3 linked regions of the Oryctolagus cuniculus genome follow. The protein of the gene in region 1 binds, or shares a complex with, the protein of each later gene. Links are inferred from orthologs where the notes say so. Each region holds a gene or a part of one and is shown on either strand. Other genes may lie near its edges. The genes, in order: PTPRG, CNTN6 and CNTN4.

The links.
Region 2: the proteins of PTPRG (region 1) and CNTN6 are in contact, whole or in part, in a crystal structure (PDB 5E5U), measured with the Mus musculus proteins. The link is inferred for Oryctolagus cuniculus from reciprocal best matches to the Homo sapiens genes PTPRG and CNTN6. Residues at the interface, in NP_033007.2 of Mus musculus: Val225, His226, His227, Lys229, Phe288, Thr290, Gln292, Gln293, Asp294, His295, Val296, Lys297, Ser298, Val299, Glu300, Tyr301; in NP_059079.2 of Mus musculus: Arg129, Val132, Arg135, Gln138, Gly139, Val140, Val141, Leu142, Leu143, Cys144, Gly145, Met222, Gly223, Tyr225, Glu226, Pro227, Lys228, Glu230, Leu252, Asn306.
Region 3: the proteins of PTPRG (region 1) and CNTN4 are in contact, whole or in part, in a crystal structure (PDB 3KLD), measured with the Mus musculus proteins. The link is inferred for Oryctolagus cuniculus from reciprocal best matches to the Homo sapiens genes PTPRG and CNTN4. Residues at the interface, in NP_033007.2 of Mus musculus: Lys222, Val225, His226, His227, Lys229, Phe288, Thr290, Gln293, Asp294, His295, Val296, Lys297, Ser298, Val299, Glu300, Tyr301; in NP_001103219.1 of Mus musculus: Thr128, Arg129, Ser130, Val132, Ser133, Arg135, Gln138, Gly139, Met140, Val141, Leu142, Leu143, Cys144, Gly145, Val219, Met220, Gly221, Glu222, Tyr223, Glu224, Pro225, Lys226, Glu228, Leu250, Asn304.

What each region holds. Positions count from the first base shown.
Region 1 is NC_091441.1:88,359,851-88,364,866, forward strand, and holds the start of PTPRG (receptor-type tyrosine-protein phosphatase gamma), read right to left. Parts: upstream 3,455-5,016; 5' UTR 3,406-3,454; coding exon 3,321-3,405; intron 1-3,320.
Region 2 is NC_091441.1:123,971,202-123,976,408, forward strand, and holds the start of CNTN6 (contactin-6), read right to left. Parts: upstream 3,394-5,207; 5' UTR 2,994-3,393; intron 2,988-2,993; exon of another isoform or gene 2,618-2,987; intron 1-2,617. UniProt on the Homo sapiens protein: Contactins mediate cell surface interactions during nervous system development. Participates in oligodendrocytes generation by acting as a ligand of NOTCH1.
Region 3 is NC_091441.1:122,981,349-122,986,369, forward strand, and holds the start of CNTN4 (contactin-4), read right to left. Parts: upstream 3,121-5,021; 5' UTR 2,896-3,120; exon of another isoform or gene 2,885-2,895; intron 1-2,884. UniProt on the Homo sapiens protein: Contactins mediate cell surface interactions during nervous system development. Has some neurite outgrowth-promoting activity. May be involved in synaptogenesis.

The sequences.
Region 1 (5,016 bases):
GTTCGTGCCCTGGCTGCTCCATTTCAGACCCAGCTCTCTGCTAGGGCCAGGGAAAGCAGTAGAAGACGGCCTGAGTGCTTGAGCCCCTGCATCCATGTGGGAGATCCAGAAGAAGTTCGTGGCTCCTGGCTTCAGATCAGCTCAGCTCTGCCCGTTGGGGGCATTTGGGAGTAAACCAGCCGGTGGAAGACCTTTCTCTGTCTCTCCCTATCTGTCTGTAACTCCACCTCTCAGATTAAAAAATTAATTAATTAATAAAAAAATTGTAATAATACAGTAATAAGGTGCCAGGGAGGCTGCAGACACAGATGAACAAAAAGCTGGGAATTGTGGAAGCTGGGTGGGGGGGTTGTGTCTATAGGGGTCCATCACGTTTTGTTTTTTTTTTCTTTTTATGTATTTTAAAAGATGCAGGAGGAGGTAACTTGCCTAATATCATGTCTGATGATACTTCCGCTGTGCACTTGGAAAGCATCAGTGGAAGCACTAACTGTGACCCTGGTCCCACACCTGCCATGCTGCTGTTGAAAGATTAAAGGCCACTACTGTTTCCTATCCGCTGGGAAAAGACCCAAGCCAGGGCTGTGCTTCCAAAAGGCTCCCCACACTACAGCTACCTTGTACCCTGGGCAGAGAACTCAAATGCAAACACAAATGCAAAGTTGGTACCATTCCAAAATAAGTAACAAGGGATTTGGATCAACATCTCACAAGGACCCTAATCCAAAATCAGGAACGTTTTTATCCCGTGTGTCAAACACATAAACGCTTCCTAGGTTCTGGGAGGCAGAAAGTGGGGGTTTCAAAGTGAACCGCAGCCCCCACCGGGTTTCAAGCCGGCCACGAGCAGCAGCCCGGAACCGAAGCCACCTCCTCGCGCCCAGATGCATCTGCAGCCCTCAGTGCCTCAAAACCTGGGCGCGCGCACCCCATTCCTGAGGCGTGGAGATGGCCGAGGCCAGCCCCAGGAGGTGGCAGTAGCCCGACCAGTGGCTCAGAGGCGCCCCCTGAAGTCCAGCGGTGCCACGGCACCTCGGGGTGTTGGGGGGGGGGGGGGAGAATGCCAGCTCTCCCAGCAGTGTGACATCTGAACTTTGCTGGCTTCAAAAGCTGCTACATCCCCTCGGGCCGCACTTTTCCAAATCAAACCCCGCTCCCCCCTCCCGTCCTCCCCCATCCCCCCCGCCCCCCGCGCCTCCCAAGGCTGCGCCTTCCCTCTCCCATACCACTGGGCTCCCGGATGAGGGAACGGGCTATTTACCTCGCAGCGTGGGCACGAAAAGAAAATGAGAAAGGCGAAAATGGTCCAAGCCCCAAGCAGGCGGCATCCCTGGCGATCCCATTTTGGATCGCAAGCTTCCTCGGCTACCAGGAACACGAACATCACGGTGGGCCCACTGACTGCATCCCCACGCTGAAGAAAGCCAGAAATGGCCATGGCAATGCCTCCCATTTCCCAGGGTTGCCCTCCGCTACCTCCCGTGACCCCGTTAAGGCAGGGCCATAGCAAAGCTCGACCCTGAGTGCATCTGAGCCCACTCAGGCGGCAAGTTCGCGGCCGAGAGGGGGAGTCTAGCAGCGGAGATGGTTAATACAGATACTGAGCAGTCTTCAAGGAACAGGGAGAGACAGCGATCCCACTCCCGTGGGCGCTGGCCCCGGCCGGGCATGTCTCCGGCCTCCGGGTTAGTGTGGACGCACGTCCCCGTTCAGTCTCTGCCTGGGTTTCTGAACTGTGGCAGGAGCTCTGTGCGGCTCCGGGGACAGGGGGATGCGCACAGAGAAACAGGGGTGCCCAAGGAAAGACAGGGCTTTCTCTGCCTCTGCGCCCCTCTAGGCTACTCCCGGGCGTGCAAAGGGGGCACTTGCTGCCAGTCTCTCCCCTGAGCGGGTCCGTACGGGGGCAGCGAAGACGCCCGCGCCCTGCTCCAGGGTGCACGACGGGGCTGAGCGATCCGCTGCACCAAAGCCCGGCGCTCCAGCCGCCCGAGGACAGGCGGCTGGAACTGGGCACAGCGGAAATAACGGAGCACGTTCCTCTTTCTCCTGATTCAGATAACGGACACCTATATGTATCCGGGAGCGGGCGGATGAGAGGGCACACAAACGGGGGATTGTCCGTCCTCAGGAGATGGAGAGGTGAAAGCGAACATCTCCTTCCCTCTCATCCGTATCCCCACTCCAGGGCAGAGGACGTGGCCTCCATCCCCAGAGAGGGGGCCGGACAGCTTCTAGGGAGATCAGGGCTGCAGCCTGGGGACCCTGCAAGAGAGAGGGAGGCGGCTGGCCACTGCCCTTCGGGAGGGAAGGAGGCGTCGGCCGGCTCAGAGCTGCAAGTGGAGGGTCGCCGAGCCGCACACCTCTACGTGCAGTGATTTATTATCGTCATCAATGGCCAATATTGTTCCTGTCTCAACCTGGCCAGAAGGGAGCAGGTCTGGGTCTGCCATCCGTGAACAGCCTGCAAAAGGCAGAGATGCAGGTAGGCAGGGCGCGCGAGACGGGGAGAAATCCGCCCCGGCGCGAACAGCAACCCAGCCGCCGGCCCGCCCCCTGCGCCCCGACCCCCGCGGCCCCGCGGAGCAGAGGGAGCAGAGCAGCGGAGGAAAGGGGCCTGAGGGAGCCTGCATCTCCCTAAACCGCTCGCTCCCGGTCCTCCCACTGCGCCCAGGCAGTCTGCCTCCCGCAGGCAGCCAAGGGCAGCCCCACGCCCCCAGCAGGGGGTTGGAGGGGGGCCCACCCCCGAGAGCAAAATGCAGGCTGCTCCCAACATTCCCCACACCCTCAATCCTCCGCCGTCAACCTCCGGCTTCCATACCAAATACCAGTCCTCCCCAAGGGTCAGAGATCAGCAAAGCGAGGCCCCTCTTTCTGACCTCTTTCGATCCCTACCGGAGAGAGGAGCACACCCCAGACTCCCCCCAAGCCCACAGAGGCATCCTCCCACGGCCTCAGTCTCCCCAACGGCCCCCCAACTCTACCTCTCCCGATTGGCCGCGGATCAGCAAAGCAAGTCCCCTCTTCTCCCTACTCTGGCTCTCCCACGGCACCCCCAAACCCAAGCTGGAGCAAGAGAATCCCGGGTACCTACTTCTCCTCCCCGGGCGGTCCCCGTCTCCACCCTCCCCGACAGCCAACCAGCCTCCCTAAACATCGCCAGGGCTGGCGGAACAGGTCTCTCTCGGTCCTGGGCACCCGGTTCCCCGCCACCCCCGCCGGGGTCCCCAGCACCGGCGCCCGAGCTCCGCGCCCCGGCGACAACTCCGCATCCCCCCGCGCGCGCCGGCTGGGGCCGCGTCCCCTCCGAGGCCGGCACTCACCGGGGAAGCACACGACATAATGGAGCACGGAACTGGTGATTTTCAGGAACAAAATCCACCAACACGGTTCCAGTAACCTCCGCATGTCCGAAAACGCACATCGAAAAGACGAAAGCAGGGGGGGATAAACTTGTTGAGTAAGTTCTCGCTTCGGTACGAGCCTCCGCTAAGCCTGGGCGCTTCTCCGGCTCGCCCGCTCCACGGGCCCCCCGCGCTCGGCGGCCCGAGTCCCCCTGGAATCCAGGAAGCCACCGAGCGCCCCCCGGAAAATCTCAAAAAGTGACCGCGAACGCGGAGCCTCGCTGGGGACGCTCCTCTCGGCGGAGACGGGCTGCGTTCCGTTCAGAAAGGCGCGAGCCGAGCAGGCAGGGCGAAGAGGCGGCGGGCGGCGGCGGCGGCGATGCCCCGGGCGCGGGGCAGGCAGGGACCGCAGGCGGCGGCGGCGGCGGCGAGCGGCGAGGATCCCCAAGTTGAGAGCCGAGAGCCGGCGGGCGGCGGCGGGGCTGAGGCGCGGCGCGGCGTCTCCGGGCTTCAGGCAGGCAGCTCCTTCCAGGGCCCCGGGAAGGAAGGAGGCATGTTTGCGAGCGGGGAAGGGGAGGGGAGCGGCGGGAGGAGCGAGCAGCCCCCCAAAATAGAAACGGCCGGAGGAAACCGAGGAAACCACAAAGGATCTCAGAGGGGCGCTGGGGCGAGGGCGCCTTCAGTCCATGCTCCTGAAAGTTGTGGCTCCGGCGCAGGCTGAGGAGGAACGGGGAGCGCGGGGCTGGAAACTGGCCATGCCTCCATACAGGAAGTAACATGTGAGCATGGATCCTGGCAGAGACTTTAAAGCCGGCGAGCGAGCGAGCGAACGAACGAGCGAGCAGGGGGCGCGCAGCGGCGCTGGCGGCGGGGGCGCGCGGCGGCGGGGGCGCGCAATCCTGAGCAGGCGGCGGCGGGCTCGCGCCCCGCGCTCTTAAAGCAACCACGCTCGCCTCCCGCCTCCGAGGGGTCCCGCAGCTCCGCGGTGGCCGCGGGGCCCCGGGGAATGCAGGCTCTTACAGGGGGCGCTTAGGGGGACTGGGGACGACGCCCGCCCGGTTTTGCAGAGAGGGAGGAGGCTGCCTTCTAGAGAAGCCAGAGTGTCTTTGCCAGATTGCCGTGTTGCGAGATCTTAAAGACGCCGCGCGCTAGATCCCGAGACCACGGAGCTTGGGGATCTGGGACTTGGGGGGACCAACCCCTAGCCTGGGCCTGGGGATAGAAGGTGGGCCAGCCAGCCGCCTTTTTAGTGCCGGAGTGTTTCCTGTTCTGCTCCACCGCCTTGGCAGCGCCGCGGCGGGGCGCACCGCTCGCGCCCCCTGCTCGCGCCCCCAGCCCAGCGCATACCCGGGCTTGGAAACAAAGCCGAGCCAGCGGCCTTTGCACTCAGGTTACGTTGGGATTTGATTCCCACCCCCACTCCCACCCCTTTTCGGGCTTCCATTGGCCGAGTCCGCAGCTGGGGAGAAGGGGGAGGGGACTGAGATCGATCCCGGGCTTGCAAAAACCAGCTCTCTAGAGCTCCACACGGCGGATCGGTGGCTTGAGTTCTCCCAACTCGCAACTCCGCGGGAGACGGTCCCCGCGCCCCGGGCTGGCTGCTGGAAGTGCGTCCCTGGCCCGGAGCCGGGTGAGAGCAGCGCCGCGGGGCAGAGCTGATCTGGCCGCTACCCAA
Region 2 (5,207 bases), about 36 Mb from region 1:
ACTGCTATTGTGGGCCTCTGAGACAGTCCCTAATGCGTAAGCTCCATTCCACCTCTTCAAATGACTGCTGAAAGGCCTGAAAGAAAACTTCCCAGTATGCAGTCATATCATGAAACCTGGAGTGATTTGTTATAGTGGTTGGGAAGGGAGACAGCAAACAGATTTCCTTACGTTATACAAGCTCAGAGAGGCAATGATGGACAGGCATCAAGCTAAAGCATGCAGAGGCATCTATAATGGAAAGAATGGCAAGACGGCTTTCATGCTTCCTCAAATTTTGAGTTCTCGGAACTTTGGCTCAATCCAACGCATTTTTATATGCGTGTGACATATGTTACCTAATTTCCACTTAGCAGCACTATCATGATAGTTTCATCTTCTTTTAGTGAGATACGAGAACTGAACAAATTGTCTACTATGACACATAGAATGGGGCCAGCACAGCAGTCCTCACACAAACTTGTGTTCCCTTCACTGCCTCAGCAGCCCAGGACATCACCACCAGGAAAGACACGTGTGCGCTTTCCGCGTGGAGGATCGTTTCCTCAGCCTGCTAACGCTGGATGCGCTGTCCGGGAAGCGCACCCAAGACAGGAGACGGAAGCTCAGCACCGCACGGCGCGCAGAGACCCTGGGGCCTGGCGCGGGAAGGGACCGAATGGCGGGTGCAGGGGCTCGAGTGACCATGACGGCACCTTATGGCGGGCGCCGAAGCTCCAGTCCTGGGAGCAGAGCTCCAAGTCTAAGTGTCAATGTGAAAAATCAATAGCAAGCAAGCATTTTATGTTCGACACTGCCCTTCTCTACTTAGTAAGCAGAAGAACATCTGGATTTTCATAATTTGGAAAAGTAACTTTTTGTAGCTACATAAAATAAAATGCAAAAGAGAAACATAGAAGAGATGCATGGAACCTAAGAAAGAAAAATGGGAGAATGCAGGAAAGGAAGGAAGGAGTATGAAAAGACAGAGGGAGGAAAAATAAAAAAAGATGGAAGGAAGGCAGGGAGGGTGGGGGAGAAGGGAGGAGAGGGGCAGAGGAGGGAAGCAGAGAGGAGGGAAGAAAAGTGAAAGTGCATTCTCAAAGAGGGTGCTCTTATTTTCTGTCTATACACTGGTAAATTATATCACATTCTTATTCTTACTGTTTACCTATTTATTTTTCCATCTTCTTGAAAGACAGAGACAGATATGAGAGAGAGGGAGGGAGGAAGAGAGAGCTTCTAACTGCTTGTTGACTTCCTAAATGTCTGTAATGCCTAGGCTGGGGCCCCGGAACTTCATCCAGGTCTAGCAGACAGGGTGGTAGGGCTCAAGCACTTGGGCATCACACCCTCCCTTCCAAGGTGCACATTATCAGGAAGCTGGGTCAGAAGCACAGGAACTGCAATTTCAATCAGGCATCTCAAGGCGGCAGCTTAGCCTGATATACAATAATGCCCGATTCTTCTTCTCTGACAAGAAACGAAACCATACGTGCTCTAAGGCCACTGGTGTGTGTAAAGGAGTTTTGCTGTAGCATTTTTGTTGATAATTATTTAAATATTTTGAGCAGGAAATTATTCAGCAAATTATTGCACAAATAAAAGCACTTCTAAAAGACTGTGGGAAAAGTAATTAAAAGATATGTTTGCTTTGATACAAAAAAATTTGTGAAACCAATGTTGTTTATGAAGAACTCTCATGTGCATCGATTTCATTTTTTTGCATCAAAAGAAACTTACCTCTTAATTACCTTTTCAAATTTTTTGAAATATTCACATATTTCTAATAAACACCAACTATGCTTTTCATATAGAAGCTATAAGTAGTAACCTAGAAAACTGTAATAAAATAAGTTAAATAATAAAAGCAAGTTGCAGACTAGTAACTTTAGTATTTTTACTCTTATGTGTAAATATTTTTAAAAGGTAGAAAAGAATGTTACTGGAAGCACAATAAGTTGCAACAGCTTTGTCAATCTGACAACACTAGTCAAGTGCCAAATTGAAGAGTTTATGTGTTCAGGTGTGCGGCCTGGCGCTGTGGCCTCCTAGGCTGAGCCTCCAACAGCTCCGGTTCAGCTGCTCCTCTTCCAATCCAGCTCGCTGCTTATGGTCTGGGAAAGCAGTGGAAGACGCCCAAGAGCTTGAGTCCCTGCACCCTAGGAGGGAGACACCTAAAAAGCTCCTAGTTTTGGATCGGCTCAGCTTCGGCCATTGCAGTCATCTGGGGAGTGAACCAGCAGATGGAAGGCCTTCCTCTGTCTCCCTCTGGCTGCCTGTATCTCTCTCTCTCAGATAAATAAAATCTTAAAAAAAAAAAAAAAGAGTTTAGGTGTGGAGCAAAGAAAGTAGATCTTTTTCAACTCTGCATTGTTGAACTGTTTGAAATGTATATTGCTTTAAGTTCAAAATAAAACCTTCACACCGTATTTAAAATTTCCTTAAGTCAAACTAGATCTTCGTTTCATTATGTAAATTTATTACAGAGTACCATAAATGAAATGGTCTCATTATCTTTTAAAATGTTCTAGGAACACACACACAAAAATTAGAAATGAACACAACGTCCATAATGGGGCCTCCTAACCGTGTGTTTCTAACAGTAACGCAATCGGAAGGATTTCGGAGTACTAACATGACTGCCGGGGGCTGAATGACTTGTCATCCACACGAGGTGCACTGCAGGATTAAGACTGGATTTCACTTCGCGCCACTGCAGTCCACCTCAGGAGATGTTTTATGGAAAATGTGTCGATATCTGCTCACCATACGGCACAAACACATCCGGGATCAACACTGCCTGTCCTGGCCTTGGAAATGTGCAGATTCGGCTCTCTTATTTCCCTGGGAAGTGCTCACTGTGAACTTGGCTGAGGATCTCACCGTCCCAAACATCAGCGGACCGGAAGGAACCCCCTCGACGGCTCTTCCGCGTGAGGTGAGCTGAGGTGCTCTTCCACGTTAAATAAAACCGTGAGGCTAAGCCACGAGGCGAACACCGAGCGACTCACCGAGAGGCACCCTAGGCCCTCGCCGCGTGAACACGCGCCCTCCGGGCCAGAGCGCGCCAGGGTCAGGCAGCGCCTGCTCGGCGACCAGGGACGCGTGCGGCCCTCTCCGCAGGACGGGCCAGCCGCCCTGAGCGCGGTCCGGGAAGCGCATCCAACACAGGAGACGGAAGCTCAGCACCGCATGGCGCGCAGAGACCCTGGGGCCTGGCGCGGGAAGGGACCGAATGGCGGGCGCAGGGGCTCGAGTGACCGTGACGGCACCTTATGGCGGGCGCCGAAGCTCCAGTCCTGGGAGCAGAGCTCCACATGGCGGGCCGCAAGCCTCGACCGGTGGTGATGGGAGTGCCGGGCGCAGAGCCCAGGGAGCCGGGCGCAGAGCCCCGAGTGCCGGGTGCAGAGCCCCGAGAGCCGGGAGTCGGCTCAGGACTCCCGAGTGCAGAGCTCAGGACCCCGAGTGCCGGGCGCAGAGCCCCGGGAGCTGGGTGCAGAGCCCCGAGTGCCGAGCGCAGGACCCCGGGAGCCGGGTGCAGAGTACCGAGTGCTGGGCGCAGAGCCCCGGGAGCCGGGTGCAGAGTCCCGAGTGCCGGGCGCAGAGCCCGAGAGCCGGCGGTGAAGTGCTCCCCAGCAGGGAGATACGCCATTGTTGGGCTCCATCTGCGTTCTGAGGGCTGCGGGGCGGAAATGCGCAGGGCGGCCGTTTGTAGGCGCCGGCCCGCGCGCTCCCTCCGCGTCAGCGGCCGGCTGCGGCCGGCTTTGCCCGGCTGACTCCGGAACGCGCACGACCTCAGCGCTCCCGCCTGACAGCGCGCACTAGCTACCAGGACAACACGGGCACCAGTCACAGAACAGCGAAACAGCCCCTCCTCCCGGAAACGCAGGCCCGGGGGCGGGCGCGAGGCGCGGGAGCGCGCAGGCGGGCACAGGCTGTGCGCGTGCGCAGTGTGCACGAGCGCTGAGCGCGTGCGGAGGCACGGGAGCGCGCAGGCGGCGGGCACGGGCTGTGCGCGTGCGCAGTGTGCACGAGCGAGCGCGTGCGGAGCCAAGCGGAGGCACGGGAGCGCGCAGGCGGGCCGCACAGGCTGTGCGCGTGCGCAGTGTGCAGGAGCGCTGAGCGCGTGCGGAGCCCAGCGGAGGCACGGGAGCGTGCGCCCAAGCGCAGCGGGCAGCACGTAAATCGCGGCCGCGGGGTGCCCTGCGTGTGCATCACGCGAGGCGCGCGGAGTCTGGGCGCGGGGTCCTCACCGCTCTAGGCCGAACCCAGACCTGATTTTCCACCCTGACAGGGTCCACGTCCCTGTCCTGCGCGTACGCCGTGTGCAGTGGAAATCAGAGCGAGATCCTGGCTCCTGAGTGGGACGGGGCTGCCCCGGGCGCCCGGTGGCGGCCCCCAGCCTTGAGGGTCCTCCCGCGGCCCCCAGCTCCGTCCCCGGTGCTCCAGGGTAGGGCTCGCGCGGGCCCCGGCTGGTCCTCCGGCTCGTGCGCCCCGCACAGGCGCATGGCGGCCTCGGCCCCGGTCACAGCCTCTCCCGGGGCGAGCGCGTCCCAGGAGGCTCGTCAGGAGTCGTCTCGAAGCCTGGAAGAGGCCGGTTTTCCTAGACTGAACCGACTTCAGGTAGACTCTGCCGATTGCAGACAGCCGCCCCCGGGAGCAGCGTCAGGCGCGCGGTGCAGTCACAGGACACGCACAGCGTGCAGACAGTTCACCGTGCTGGGCCTCCAGGACATCATCTTACGGTGAGAGCCGTCACCACCGCGCAGGTGTCGTACACTCTCCCTAGCAACAGGTCATGAGTATCTATGGAAGACATCGCAGATCAGAAAGGGGACACGGTCGGCCCTTGCTTTCCGGTAGCCTCACCTCAGCAACAGGGCCAGCCTGGCTCACAGGCCCGGGGTCACGGGTCCTGGCTTGCACACCGCCTCTCCCTGACGGCTGCACTGCCTCGCGCCTGGAAAAGGCTATGGGCTTGCAACATTTGCTACAGAGCTTCAGCTGTATCTCACAACTTCCTCGGGCAGTTTAAGGAGATATTATCTCTAAGGTCAGCACTGTGGCACGGAGGGTAAAACCGCCACCTGCAGTGCCGGCATCCCACACGGACACTTGTCAAGTCCCGGCTGCTCCGCTTCCAGCCCAGCTCTCTGCTGAGGCCTGGGGTAGCAGTGGAGGATGCCCAAGTCCTCGGGCCCTGCACCCGCGTGGGAGGCCTGGAG
Region 3 (5,021 bases), about 35 Mb from region 1:
CGGACACCAGACCTCCCACACCCTGAGACCCTGGGGGCCTGGACACCAGACCTCCTGCACCCTGAGACCCTGGGGGCCTGGACACCAGACCTCCTGCACCCTGAGACCCTGGGGGCCTGGACACCAGACCTCCTGCACCCTGAGGCCCTGGGGGCCAGGACACCAGACCTCCCACACCCTGAGACCCTGGGGGCCAGGACACCAGACCTCCTGCACCCCGGGGCCAGGACACCAGACCTCCCACACCCTGAGACCCTGGGGGCCAGGACACCAGACCTCCCGCCATCCTGCATCTCTGCTCTGTGTGCATTTATCAGCAGCAGTTGGTGGAACAATGTCTGCTACCAAGGCACACATTTCACCAGTGTGTGGTCAAGGTTCTTTCTGAAAGTCATTGTTAAAAAAACAAAGGCCAGTACATCAGGTACAAACTCTGGCCTGCCTCCCTCCTCCTTCAGACACTGCTGTGTATTTAAAAAAAAAAAAAAAAAAAAAAAAAACACCAGAAAAAAGAATTCCCTACCCTCACACCTGCCTATCACAAGAACCACAGTCGTTTAATCACAATCTTAGGAACCCAAGTTCTCACAAAAGATGAGTTCCTTGAGAAGGAGATGGGAACTCATTTTTGTGTCTAGGGCAGGAACCGCAAAGTGCGCACGTGAAAAGCATTGACTATCAGACGACACGGGTGGAGAAGCCTCTCTGAGAGTGCAATTAGGTTGTGCTCACACTTTCACCTCGACTGGAGTCACAGGTGCCCGTGAGCCTTCAGGAGAGCCAGGAGAGTGTGCGGTCACGGCCACGGTGTTCCGTGCTTACAGGAGAATGAGCTGAGAGCCTCGGGCAAGCCCCGAGGAACCAAGCCAGCCGCCAGCCGCCCCGTGGAGGGCGCTCTGTAGTCACCTCATCACCGCCCACCTGGCTTTAACTCCGCCCACGCCCAGCGGCCCGCACACAGGTGCCTCTCAGATGCTCAGCCTCTAGGGCCCGCCTTTGGTACAGCTGGTAAAGCCCCTGCCTGGGAGGCGCAGGTGGAGCGCCAGTTGGCGTCCCGGCTGCCTGCTTCTGCACCTGGGCCGGCGTTAGAAAATGGTCCGGGTCCTTGGGCCCTGCACCCACGTGGGAGACCTGGAGGAGCTCCTGGCTGCAGCCTGGCCTAAATCTGGCTGTTGAGTCCATTTGGGGAGTGAAGCAGTGGTAGAACACTACCGCGCGCGCTCCCCCTCCCCTCCTGTCGCTCTGCCTTTCAAATAAATAATCTCTCTTTCTTAACAATCTCAGCCCTAGTGGTAAAGACGAGTTCTCCCGCGCGCGCGGCGCCCTGGCAGGGCCCAGAGTGGACAGAACGAAGTTTAACGATCAGCCTCCGCCAAGAGGCGCAGCTGCGATCGGCAGAGACCAGCAGCAAACCGACGTTCTCTGGAAGCCCTGAGCCCTCGCCCTCGCCCTCGCCCTCCTCCGCTCCCGGACCGCGGCGGAGGCGCACAGCCCCGGATCCCGAGGAGCCGGCAAGCCTGCACCGAAGGCGAAATCACCGCAGAGCGCCTCGCGGAGTCCGCGCGTGACGCGTGCGCTTCGCGCCCACCCGGGCGAGGAGAGCTGACTGGGACGCCCGGGGCGCAAAGGTGCCGACCTCCCCCGCGTCCCCGCCTCAGTCCCTGAAGAAACGACCGCCCCCCCCCAAAAAAAAAAACAGACATGGGGTTCCGCGGGTGTCCCAGCCGCCAGCCCAGTGGCGTTCCGCCCTGAAACACCCGACTCCCGCCACCGGCGCCGCGGGCGCTCCCATGCAATTAGAAGACACTCTTCCCACCCCGTGTCGATCCAAGCGGGAAAAACAGAGAAAGTTCCCGGAGCCCGACTCCCCGCACGTCGCCCAGACCGGCCAAGCCCCCCACGCAGGCCCTCGCCTCTCCCCGCGCTGGCCGCGCAGCCAGAGCGCTGAGCCCCGACGCGCGCCGCGCGACCTCCGGCAGCCTCGGCGCGCCAGACCCCGCGCGCCCGCAACCCCGCGGCCGGCTGTGCCAGCGGGCGCAGCCGTGCGCGGCCACCGGGGAGCCCCGTCCTCCCGCCCTCACCTCCACGCCTCCCATTAGGAGTCAGACACCGGCTCGAGGCGCACAAACGGGAAACGCACGCAGCCACGGGTTTGCGCCCTCTGTCTCAGGAGAGCGCGCGGGGGCCGGGCGCGCCTCTCGCCGCTGTCTGGGTCCAGCGAGTGGACAAGGTGGTAGCCCAACGTACCTCACCAGCTCCTGGAGACCCCCGAAAAGTTGCTGGAAAAGAGTGCCGCCCCTAAGGGCGCCCTGGTAGAAGCTGGGAAGCCAGGAGCGCTCCGCCCGAGCGGGGACGCGGCCACTGCTCGCCGCTGCCCAGACGCCTGGCCCCGAGCCCGGTGCTCGGCGGGGCCCCGCACGCCGGTCTCTGTCTCCGCGGTTTTCCGGTCGCGGCCGCGGCTCCTGTTCCAGCGGCCCTGCCACCTACAGCCCACGTCCGCCCTCCTCACCTCTGGCCCGCAGAGGGAACCCCGCTAGCGACCGGGCCATCATCTGCGCGCCAGGGGCACGTCCTGAGCTGGATGGCGGAGCGGATTTCAAGGGTCCCCTAGCATTCCCGGCTCGGAGCTCGCTTCGCAGCGCAACAAACTTATGTTCTGGCTGAAAGGGAGAAGGGTCGCCGCGGCCCTGCCTCCTCCTGGGCTCGCGGCGCTCAGTGCCCGCGGCCAGACTCGGAGGGCCGCCCCGCTCGCTCGGGCCGGTCCAGCCCTGCATGAGAGAGAGCCGCGGGCGGGCAGCTCCTCTCCATCCTCCAGCCCGCAGGAACCCTGTTTTTCCCCAAATCCGCGCTCCAGGGAGCCGGGAGCAGCGCGCGCATCGCTCACCTGAGCCGCACCTGAGCGCGGTGTTGGCAGGATCCGCGCGCGGCGTCGGCACCGGCCGGGGTCCCCGTGCAGAGCGAACCTTCCCACTTGCGGCCAATCCTGGTGTGGACCTGGAGCTGCCTGGTGCCGCGCTCTACGTCCTCCTCACGCTCGCGGCCGCTCCAAAAACCCGGCGCGCCGGAGTTCGGGCTGCCGGCTCCGCGGCCGCGGAGAGGAGGGGCGCGCTGGGAGTGGAGAGGGGCGGGGAGCGGGGAGGCGCCCGCGCGTGGCTGGGATGCGGCGCGCGGCCGAGCTGGGCATGCTCAGAGCACTGCCGGAGGAGGCGCGCGCCGAGGCGACGCACCTGCGGGGGGAGCTTGGGGGCGCAGATGGACTGCCGCTGGGGAGGCGCGCCTGGACCACTGCGCGAGAACTGGTAGCGACGCCTCGCTGGTCCCCAGGCCCGCGGAGACCATCGTCCCGGCTCCCGAGCAGGGCGTGGGGGCTGCAGGCCAGGGGTGTGTCCGAGGCGACGTCGCTGAGCACCGGGGCACAAGGAGGCGCGACCTGCCCGTACACCCAAACCTGGGGCGCATCTTCAGGAGGAGCCGGGGCTGGGGGCGGGCGGCGGAGCGGAACTGGAGCAGCCGGAAGAGGGACTTTTACCTGCGCGTGCTCCGCGGAGTCGCTGCGCTGGAGGGGCCGTGGCGAGGCGCGGGGCCAGGGCTGCGCGCGCTGGGTGGAGCCGCGTTTCTCCTGAGGGTTTGCTGGGCCCGCATCTGCGCACCCAGAGCTGCAGCGGCCGCTGGCCGCGTGCGCCGCGTGCAACCCTGCAGCTCCTGCCTGCGAGTGCAGCAGTCTTGTTCGCTCAGTGTTGGACTGGGGATTTGTCTGTTGTTTTCATTTATTTTATTATTTAAAGGAACTGTATTCAGGGGCCAATGCTGTGGCTTAGCAGGCAAAGCCGCGCCTGCAAAGCCAGCGTCCCATACGGGTGCAGAGTGCACTTCCAGTCCAGCTCCCTGCTAATGGCCTGGGAAAGCAACGGAAGATGGCCCAAGTCCTAGAGCCCCTGCTACCCAATGAGGGAGACCGGATGATGCTGGTGGCTCCTGGCTTTGGTCTGGCCCAGCCCTGGCCATTGCAGCCATCCGGGGAGTGAACCAGCAGATCAAAGACCTCTCTCTCTCTAAGCCTGCCTTTCAAATAAATGTTTACAAAGTAAAATATATATATATTATATATATAATTTTCAGTAAAAACATACAAGAACAGCAACAGAAGTGGATGCAGGCGCCCTCTGAGCGCACAGAACCTCTGAGACCAAAGCTCAGCCTGTGTCCTTCTCCCGGGCACCACAGGCCAGGCAGGTCTCCACGTTCCCGACCGGGTCCCGGTAACCCCCGCCGCGTCGTCATCCGGTTATGCGAGTGTGCCTCTCTCTCACCTGGATCCTGGGTCGGGCGCCCCGGCCCTGGGCTCGGGTTTGCGCGGTCCACAGCGGCAGTGGCAGCAGGGCTGGACCCGGTCGTGGCACTGGGCGTCCACCGCACCGGGACCCGGGAGCCGCCTCTCTGCCGCGCCCACGGACAAGCCCCGGCCAGCGCTGCCCCAGCGTGTCCCGACGGACCGCGGCTTCTCCTGGCCTGGGGGAATCAGAGCTGCAGCCTCTGCTGGGAGACTCCTTGTGTGAGGGAGTGGGGGTCGGGGCTGCTCGCCGTGAACATTCCAGACAGATCCGGGAGGGCTGGGCGCCCATCACAGTGGCTGCGGTATCCGGTGGGTGCTCCTCAGGGGGCGCGGGGAGCCCCAGGGACACAGTTCTCCGCCAGGCCTCCTCCCATGGCAGCGTCCACCCACAGCAAGTTCCACCCCCACATCTCCTTAATGCAGGAGTCCATTTGGACACGAGTTCTCCCTGCACACGGTTATTAAACCGGTTTCAACGAGGTCTGATCACTCAAGGGGAGTCAGCCTGGAGAACGTTTTTGACTTTTTGGAGACTGGGGCAGAATGCATTGCACAGGTGCCACTCAGTCCAGGACACTCCTCTGCCCCGCCCACCCGTCATGCACCTCCCGAGGGGTGGGCTTTAAAATTTTATCTATCTATCTATCTACTATCTATCTATCTAAAAAGCAGAGCAGCTGAGAGGTAG